2 linked regions of the Coturnix japonica genome follow. The protein of the gene in region 2 purifies or fractionates together with the protein of the main gene of each other region. This does not show direct contact. Links are inferred from orthologs where the notes say so. Each region holds a gene or a part of one and is shown on either strand. Other genes may lie near its edges.

Region 1 (4,334 bases), on a different chromosome or scaffold from region 2:
AGAACAGAAAACATGCTTGAAGGACAGCGACTGGGGAGGATGTTAGCTCAGCGTTAGTCATGTTGACTCTAAGCTGACAACAGTAGCAGAAAAGCAGCCAGAAACACGAGATTTAACAGAGACCCACTGCAGGGAAATACATCTGAGTGCCAAGAAGCCAACTAGTCATGCAGCGTGTGATCTGCTTGCAGACTCCTTATTACACGTGATGAAAGATGAACAGAAGAGAGTTTGACTGGCGGAGCCTGGCCTGACTTTGCTGTATTGAGTCTCGAAAGGCGGATAAAAGCCTTGTATTTGCTGAGCTCTCTTGATCCAAAGCATACTGGTAGGCAGTGAGTGCTATGTTTTATGATGATGATGATTTTATTTCAGATGATCATTTTCATTCCTTTTCCCCCTCGGGATGAGGTGATCTGCCGGATCTCTAGCACTGAGAAACACAGCCCTAAGGCACACACCATCTCATTCAGAGCCCATCCAACTGACCCCGAACACATCGGATTGAGTGCACACAAAAGGCAGGGTCACCCAGCACGCGTGTACAAAGGCTTCAGGGATGCTTCCGGGATGAAGTGAGGGCCATATTCAATACACACACACACCAGAGGGGAAGCACAAAAGCGGAGCCCATCAGCCACGCTGCCTTCTAGATGGTGCCCACACGGAGGAGCTCCTGCCTTAGGAATGAACCCCAGCTGGGCGGCTGGTGTAACTTTGGAGGCCCTGGAGTTTAAGGAGCTTTCAGCCAGTGCTCTCAGTCGTAGGGTCTGATTTTCAGGTGGTCCTTTATGGAGCCCGATGGTCCCTACGGCTCCCTTCGCACTTAGAGTATTCAGTGTTGCTATGAATTCTCAGCCTAGAGAAGGTTGCGGGGTGACCTCATTGCAGCCTTACAATACCTGAAGGGAACTTTACTCCCAGGAGGGAGTAAACTCTTCGAAGGGCTGATAATAGCAGGACTAGGGAAATGGTTTTAAGTTGAAAGAGGGAAGATTTAGGTTGGATGTTAGGGGAAGTTCTTCACTAGGAGAGGGGTAGGTACTGAACAGGCTGCCCAGGGAGGTTGTGGATGCCCCGTCCTTGGAGGTGTTCAAGGCAGGGTGGACGGGGCCCTGCGGCAACGTGATCTAGTAAAGGGTGTATGTTTGGTGGCCCTGTGCCAGGCAGGGGGTTGGAACTACATGATCCTTGAGCCCGCCACTCTCAAGATGGCGGATGGAGCGTCCCCGTAGCAACGCGGGCGCTAGAGGAAGGGGGGCGGGCTTTGGCTGCGCGCTTCCGGTCGGCTCCGGCGGCGACGCGTCAGCGGCGGGGTCGGCCCGGCCACCTCTAAAGGTCTCGGCTTTGATGTGGGGCGAGCGGCGGCAGCGTGTGACCGAGCCGCGGGGCAGCGAGCGGGGCCGGGGCCTGGGAGCACAGAGCGGGGCCTGCTGCGGGACATAAGGGATCGGGGGCACGGCAGTTGCTTAGGAAACAGAACAAGGCTGCTGTGTGAGCGGGGAGCGGGCCGCGGGGTGTGGTGCTGTGCCTGGAGCAGAGCGTGCGGCCACCTGGTCCCTACTTGCAGCCCTCTATCAGGGCACCATTCGTCATTCAGAAATAGATGGGGTGGGAGTTGACGTTGGTGCCCTGGTGACCCGCAGAGAGCGCGGCCTTACGGGGGTTTTGCTCTGTGCTTTCTTCCTAGGGAGTTTACAAGAAGGTGCTTTCAGACGGTCAGGTTCCAGTTAGCGAAAAGGATGTTTGCTGATTTGGATTATGATGTTGAGGAGGATAAGCTGTAAGTACGGCACTCATCTTTTGTTTTTCTGACAATAGAAATAGTCTTCACAGAACAAAACAAATGGCAGCAGATAGATTTCCATGTTGCTGACAAGGCCCAGGGAGACCTGGACAGGCTTGAGCAGTGGGCCAAGGACCCCCTCACTTGGCCAAGTGCAAGGTCTGGTATTGCATATCGGTATTGTAAGGTTTTGCACTTGGGCTGGAAGAACCCCAGGCACCTGTACAGGCTGGGAGGAGTGGTCCTTGAGAGCAGCTCGGCAGAGAAGACCTGGGGGTCCTGATGGACAAAGACTCAAACTGAGCCAGCAGTGCGCTCTGGCAGCCGGAAAGCAAATGGGATCCTGGGCTCCATCAGGAGAGGGGTGGCCAGCAGGGATAGGGAGGTGATTGTCCCTCTCTGCTCTTGTGAGGCCCCATCTGGAGTACTGTGTCCAGGTGTGGAGCCCTCAGTACAAAAAGACATGGAGATTTTGGAAAGGGTCCAGAGGAGGCCACAAAGATGATCAGGGGGCCGAGCACCTCCCCTATGAGGACAGGCTGAGGGAGTTGGGTTTGTCAGCCTGGAGAAGAGAAGGTTGCGGTGACCTCATTGCAGCCTTTCATTACCGAAGGGAATTACCCCAGGAGGGAGAAACTCTTCGAAAGGCTGAAATAGCAGGACAGGGGAAATGGTTTTAAGTTGAAAGAGGGAAGATTTAGGTTGGATGTTAGGGGAAGTTCTTCACTAGAGAGTGGTTAGGTCCTGGAACAGGCTGCCCAGGGAGGTTGTGGATGCCCCGTCCTTGGAGGTGTTCAAGCCAGTTGGACGGGCCTGGGCAACCTGACGTAGTAAATGTGTATGTTTGGTGGCCCTGACAGGCAGGGGGGTTGGAACTACATGATCTTTGAGGTCCCTTCCAACTCGGGTCATTCTGTGATTCTGTGGTACCTGGGCTGTGGCAATTTCCACTACCAGTACAGGCTGGGGGATGGAGCACGGCCCTACCAAAAAGGACTTGGGGACACTGATGGATGGCAGCTGGACATGAGCCAGCAGTGTGCCCTCACAGCCCACAGTGCCAACTGTGTCCTGGGCTGCACCCAAAGGAATGTGGCCATTAGGGAGAGGGAGGTGATCCTGCCCCTCTGCACTGTGTTGTGAGACCTTTCCCAGAGTACTGAGTTGAATGTGGAACCCTCAGTACAGGAGAGATGTGGGCATGTTAGACCTGTTAGAGCACATGCAGAGGAGGGCCACAAAAATGAGATGTTCCAAAGGGATGGAACACCTGCCCTATGAGAGAGGAAGTTGAGAGAGCTAGGGTTGTTCAGCCAGGAGAAGAGAAGGCTCCAGGGAGACCAGAGAGCAGCCTCTCAGTATCTAGAGGGAGACTATAAGAAGAAAAGGGACAGATTCTTTTCTTTGTGATAGGACAAGGAGAAATGGTTTCAGACTAGAAGAGAGATTTAGACTGTATGTAGACTTACTTTCCAATAAGTCTAGTGGAGTTCCAGTAAGGAACAGGTTGTCTGGGGGTGTGGATGCTTCATCCCTGGAGATATTCAAGGTCAGGCTGGAGGGGCTCTGAGCATCCTGATCTAGATGTAGGAGTCTCTTTCCATTGTAGGGGGTTTGTCCAGATGGCCTTTAAGGCTCGTTTCCAACCAACAGTTCTGATTCTAAGACCCGCTGAAGGGTCAGGCTCGCTGCTCAATCCTGACTTCTTGCTACCTTGGGGAATGGGGATGAAGTATTGCTGTCTCTCTCCAAGGACTGCTCTGAGCTTCTTGTTGCAAGGTAGTCCTAGCAGTGAATTAGTGACCTTAGCTAGAGGGAAGAAAAAAAAAAAGGTTTATAATGGAAGACAGTACGAGGCAGCCATAAGTGGAGAAAACCTCTGGAGACCATGGGTTTGTAAGGAGCACTGGAGTTTTTTGAACAAGTTTTATGAAATCAGCAGTTTCTTTGGCATGGAGTTTCGTTTTTGTTGCACATACTGATCTCTTACTCTGACACAAAGGCAGCTCAAACACTGTTTAAAGCAACAGTGTTTCCTCTGCATCTCTCCCTCCTTCACTCTGTGCATGCAGTCTCAAAAACAACAGCTCAGAGTGTCTTCCTGTGTTGTCCTGTGCTTATAGACTCTGTGGCACAGTGTGCTTAATTAAAGTGTACAATGTCTATCATGTGTTCAGTTTTTATCGTCACTGATACCACAGTTGTACAGATACAGCTCTGTCTGCCATGTTCAGTTTTCCACTATCCATCTCCTTTCTCATTCTAGAGGGATCCCCACTGTACCTGGGACAGTGACCCTGAAGAAGGACTCCCAGAACCTGATTGGGATCAGCATTGGGGGAGGAGCACAGTACTGCCCCTGTCTCTATATTGTTCAGGTGAGCACCCGAGGAGGAAGAATACAACCAAGTTAAATAGGAGAAATATAGCTGTCAGGTGTTTGTTCTTCAGCCCTGCGCTGTTCTTTTTCATCCTTTTGATTCCAGACTGCTTGTGCTTTTTCTCCCCTTCTCCAGGTATTCGATAACACCCCAGCAGCCTTAGATGG
Region 2 (3,404 bases):
CCCCACACCATCACAAAGCCCCACACCACGACAGAGCCCCACACCATCACAGAACCCCACACCATGACCAGGCTGCAGGCCCTCAGTGGTCCCCCAAGGCGCAGCCCTCCATGCTGCTCCCCCAGCGGCCCAACGCTGCCATCCCCGGGACGGAGGCCGAGGAAGACATTTTGGAGATGTGGAGCTGCTCTGTTTTGTGCACGTGGAGCCCAGTGGGCTCTGCTGGGGCTGCGGGGCTCTGAGATGATGCCAGGCATGGGAACAGGCGCAGGCTGAGCTCTGGGGAGCAGAATGAGCATGGAGACAATGGACGGACGGACAGACGAACAGGGCTGTGGATGGAGACTCTTGCGGCCCGAAGGCTGCTTCTTCTTGGCTTCTGGGTTTCTAGTTAAAAAGGCCGAGGGGAGCCGAGGGGGAGGAGACGGGGCAGGCCCGCGCCCCGGCCCGCTGTGCGTGGCTCCGCGGCTGGGCTGCAGCCTCCTCCAGTCTCTGAGCCAACACGGCCCGGCCCGGCCGCCTGCCCCAAAATCTGAGGCCGCCGCTCTTGTCCGCGTCCCGCCGTGGCTTCGAGCGAGGTCCCCTGGCTGTGTCTCTCCTCTAGGAGAAGGGCAGCGCTCCGGAGGGCTTTGGTAGCTCGGGTTGTTGTACATCCAGACGTCGGTTAGCAGGTGAAGTCCTCAAAGGTTCCCCGGGCTGGGTGGTGAGGTAGGATGTTTGCTGCGTACGTCATGCCGGCCGGGTGACCCCGTAGGCTCTCGCAGGGGTTCTGTAGGGGAAGAGATGGGATGTTGTGGTCACGGGTTTAAGCCAGAACCAAGCCCTGTCTTCCATTGCCTGCTGCCCCTTGTCCCCCAGGTGGTGACGGTGACCCCCCAACAAGACCCCCTGCCCAGCACTCACGTGGCGTTTCACGTCATCCATGCTCAGTGCGACGCCCTTGTCCGTGTTGTTCCTCTTGTGGTTCTTACGGCACTTGCCCCGCCGGCACAGCCGGTGCTTGATCACCTGCAGGAGATGGCTCTGAGCTCCAGGATGGACCCCAACAAGGGGGTTTCCCCAGTAGATGGAGGGATGTGGTGCCAAGGGGGCTCTGCTGACCCCACAGGAACAGGGCACAGTGTTTTGGGGCTCACCTCATAGGCGTAGTCAAACAGCTCCAGCACAGTGAGGATGCTGGCCCCGATAAACAGCCCCATCTGTCCTCCGATGTCACCTGGGGGGGAGAGGAAAGCTATCAGCAGGGCACTGCTGGCAGATGGAGCAGAGAAAGGGCAAACCTCATCACTGCTGTGACTCTGGGGGCTGCTCTGTTCTGCACCTACGCTGTGTGCACACCCTGGTGCCCCAGGATTGGGGTGACAGCACATGGGGCCACACTGAAGGGTGCCAACCAAAGCTCTCAGCACAGCCACCAGCCCACAGTGCTCACCCAGCAATCCAGCCACCTCATACGCCTTCTTCTGCTCAATCGTCTCATAGTTCAAGGCTTCAAAGAAGATATCCAGCACCAGGATGTTCTCCCTGCGTGGGCAGAAAGCAGAGTCAGGTCGTGGTGTTGGAGAGACACAATGCTGCCCCATACCTGTGGTGCATTACCCGATGTATTGCTCTGACTTGTTGTACTTCTTGGCCAGGTACTTAGCAGAGGCTTTGCTGGGAATCTTCACCATGGAGAGCTCTTTGCCGTAGCGGGTGACGTTGCAGGGCATCTCACAGACACAATACTCATTGTCCTTCTCCACCAGGAAATCTGGGCAGGAAAAGAGACTTAGATGGGGATGTGGGAAACCCTGATGCTGTCAGTTCAGACCTATGGGACCAGGCAGCCTCACCTAAGGCCGGATCTGCGCACTCCTTGTACTGCTCTGGGGTGCAATAAGGGGCATCGCCTGCAGGAAACAGAACAGGTTTCCCATAGGACTGTGTCCCCTGGGTTTGGGGTGGGATGCAGCCATGCAGAGCTCACCTGGCATGTGCACCATGCGGCAGTTGCAGTTCTCCACCAGGTAGCGGGTCTCGCAGTCGATGCGGCAGGCTGTGATGCTGTAAGTGTCGTAGAACTCCGAGTCACCCGTTGTGGCCTTACAGTCTCCCCAGGGAGGTGGCAGGTAGATGAGCTGAGAGGGAAGCCAGGGATAAGGAGAGAAGCACACATCCCTGCAGCCCACGGCATGGTGAGGGTGGGGCCTCGTGTGCTGCTCCCCATTTCCATCCCACATTGGGGCAGGAGATGGGGATGTAGGGAGGGGGCTCAGCACTCTAGGGGGTGGGAGGGATTGAGCAAGGCCCACAGCCCCTACCCGCTGCTCCTGGCAGGACACGAAGGTCTGGAAGCCGGGTGCCACACCAAAGCCCAGCTGGTCGATGTAGGGTGGCTCATCCTGGCTGTGGATCTGCACCTTGATCCCAGCTTCAAATGAGGTCTCATCTGCAGCAGAGAGGAGCAGAGAGGAGCTGAGCCCTGCTGCAAGAAGGAAGAAAACTCCTCCCGTCTCCCACCCTTCCCTTTGGTGAATTCACTCCTTCACATGTCCATGCATCCATGCATCCATCCACCCCGTGCCCTTGTCCCCCCCAGCCCTGTGGTCCAGACCTTGGGAAGAGCAGTGTGGAAAGTGCCTGGCTCTATTTATAAACAAGTGATGGCTGCTTGTCTAAAGCGGCAGGGAGTTGCCATGGCAAATAGAAGAGGCAAGGAGGAAAAAGGAAAGCAGAAGACCCGAAGTGGTGAGAAACAGAAGGAAGGAGCCCTGGGGACGTGGTCTTGTGGGGTATGAAGCTGGGAGGCTGCTGGGAAGCAGCCTAGGAGCTGCTGGGTTACCTGTTTCCCCCCACACAGGGAGGTACTCGTCCTGCTGGATGTCCAGCATGATCTCCAGGCCATTTCCAGTGCCCCCCTTCATGGTGATGAGCCGGGGTTTGCCGTCCTGCCCTGCATTGAAGGTGTAGCATTTGCCATAGCGTGTGAACACCTGTGGGAGAGGACATAAGGCTGAGGCTGGGGCCCCTCTGCTAGCCCCAAAATGCCACTGGCGCTGCAGCATGGAGCTGACTCCAGCTCCAGAATGTGGCAATGCCCAGCCTGGGGGACAGCCTGACCCAGGGTCCTGTCCCATGGGGTCTCTTAGCATCAGAGCTGCCTTTGCCCTGGTAGAAGGACGAGATCCCCACCAAGGCAATGGGTGCAGATCAGTGGAGATGCTTTGCAGGTTTGCATCTCCATGACCCTGCAGCCCCAGGACAGCAGCACTCAGCCCTGTGCCCTCACCAATATCTGCCCCATCACCTCCAATCCCACAGATGGGGGCTGGACAGGATCCTCAACCCCCCAGCCCTCCTCACCCATTCCAGCTATCACCTCTGGCTGCCAGCACAGCTCCATGCTGCTGAGCTGCTGCTGG

What was found.
Region 1: the proteins of ASIC1 (region 2) and PICK1 purify together in Homo sapiens (affinity purification with western blotting; 3 studies listed by BioGRID and IntAct, with this or other methods). This does not show direct contact. The link is inferred for Coturnix japonica from reciprocal best matches to the Homo sapiens genes ASIC1 and PICK1.

Annotation. Positions count from the first base shown.
Region 1 is NC_029516.1:46,560,519-46,564,852, reverse strand, and holds the start of PICK1 (PRKCA-binding protein), read left to right. Parts: upstream 1-1,250; 5' UTR 1,251-1,338; intron 1,339-1,364; exon of another isoform or gene 1,365-1,494; intron 1,495-1,690; 5' UTR 1,691-1,742; coding exon 1,743-1,783; intron 1,784-4,052; coding exon 4,053-4,164; intron 4,165-4,302; coding exon 4,303-4,334. UniProt on the Homo sapiens protein: Probable adapter protein that bind to and organize the subcellular localization of a variety of membrane proteins containing some PDZ recognition sequence.
Region 2 is NC_029544.1:355,285-358,688, forward strand, and holds the end of ASIC1 (acid-sensing ion channel 1), read right to left. Parts: intron 2,976-3,404; coding exon 2,825-2,975; intron 2,432-2,824; coding exon 2,304-2,431; intron 2,121-2,303; coding exon 1,970-2,120; intron 1,893-1,969; coding exon 1,836-1,892; intron 1,754-1,835; coding exon 1,600-1,753; intron 1,525-1,599; coding exon 1,137-1,524; intron 1,009-1,136; coding exon 904-1,008; intron 770-903; coding exon 665-769; 3' UTR 645-664; downstream 1-644. UniProt on the Homo sapiens protein: Forms voltage-independent, pH-gated trimeric sodium channels that act as postsynaptic excitatory receptors in the nervous system, playing a crucial role in regulating synaptic plasticity, learning, and memory.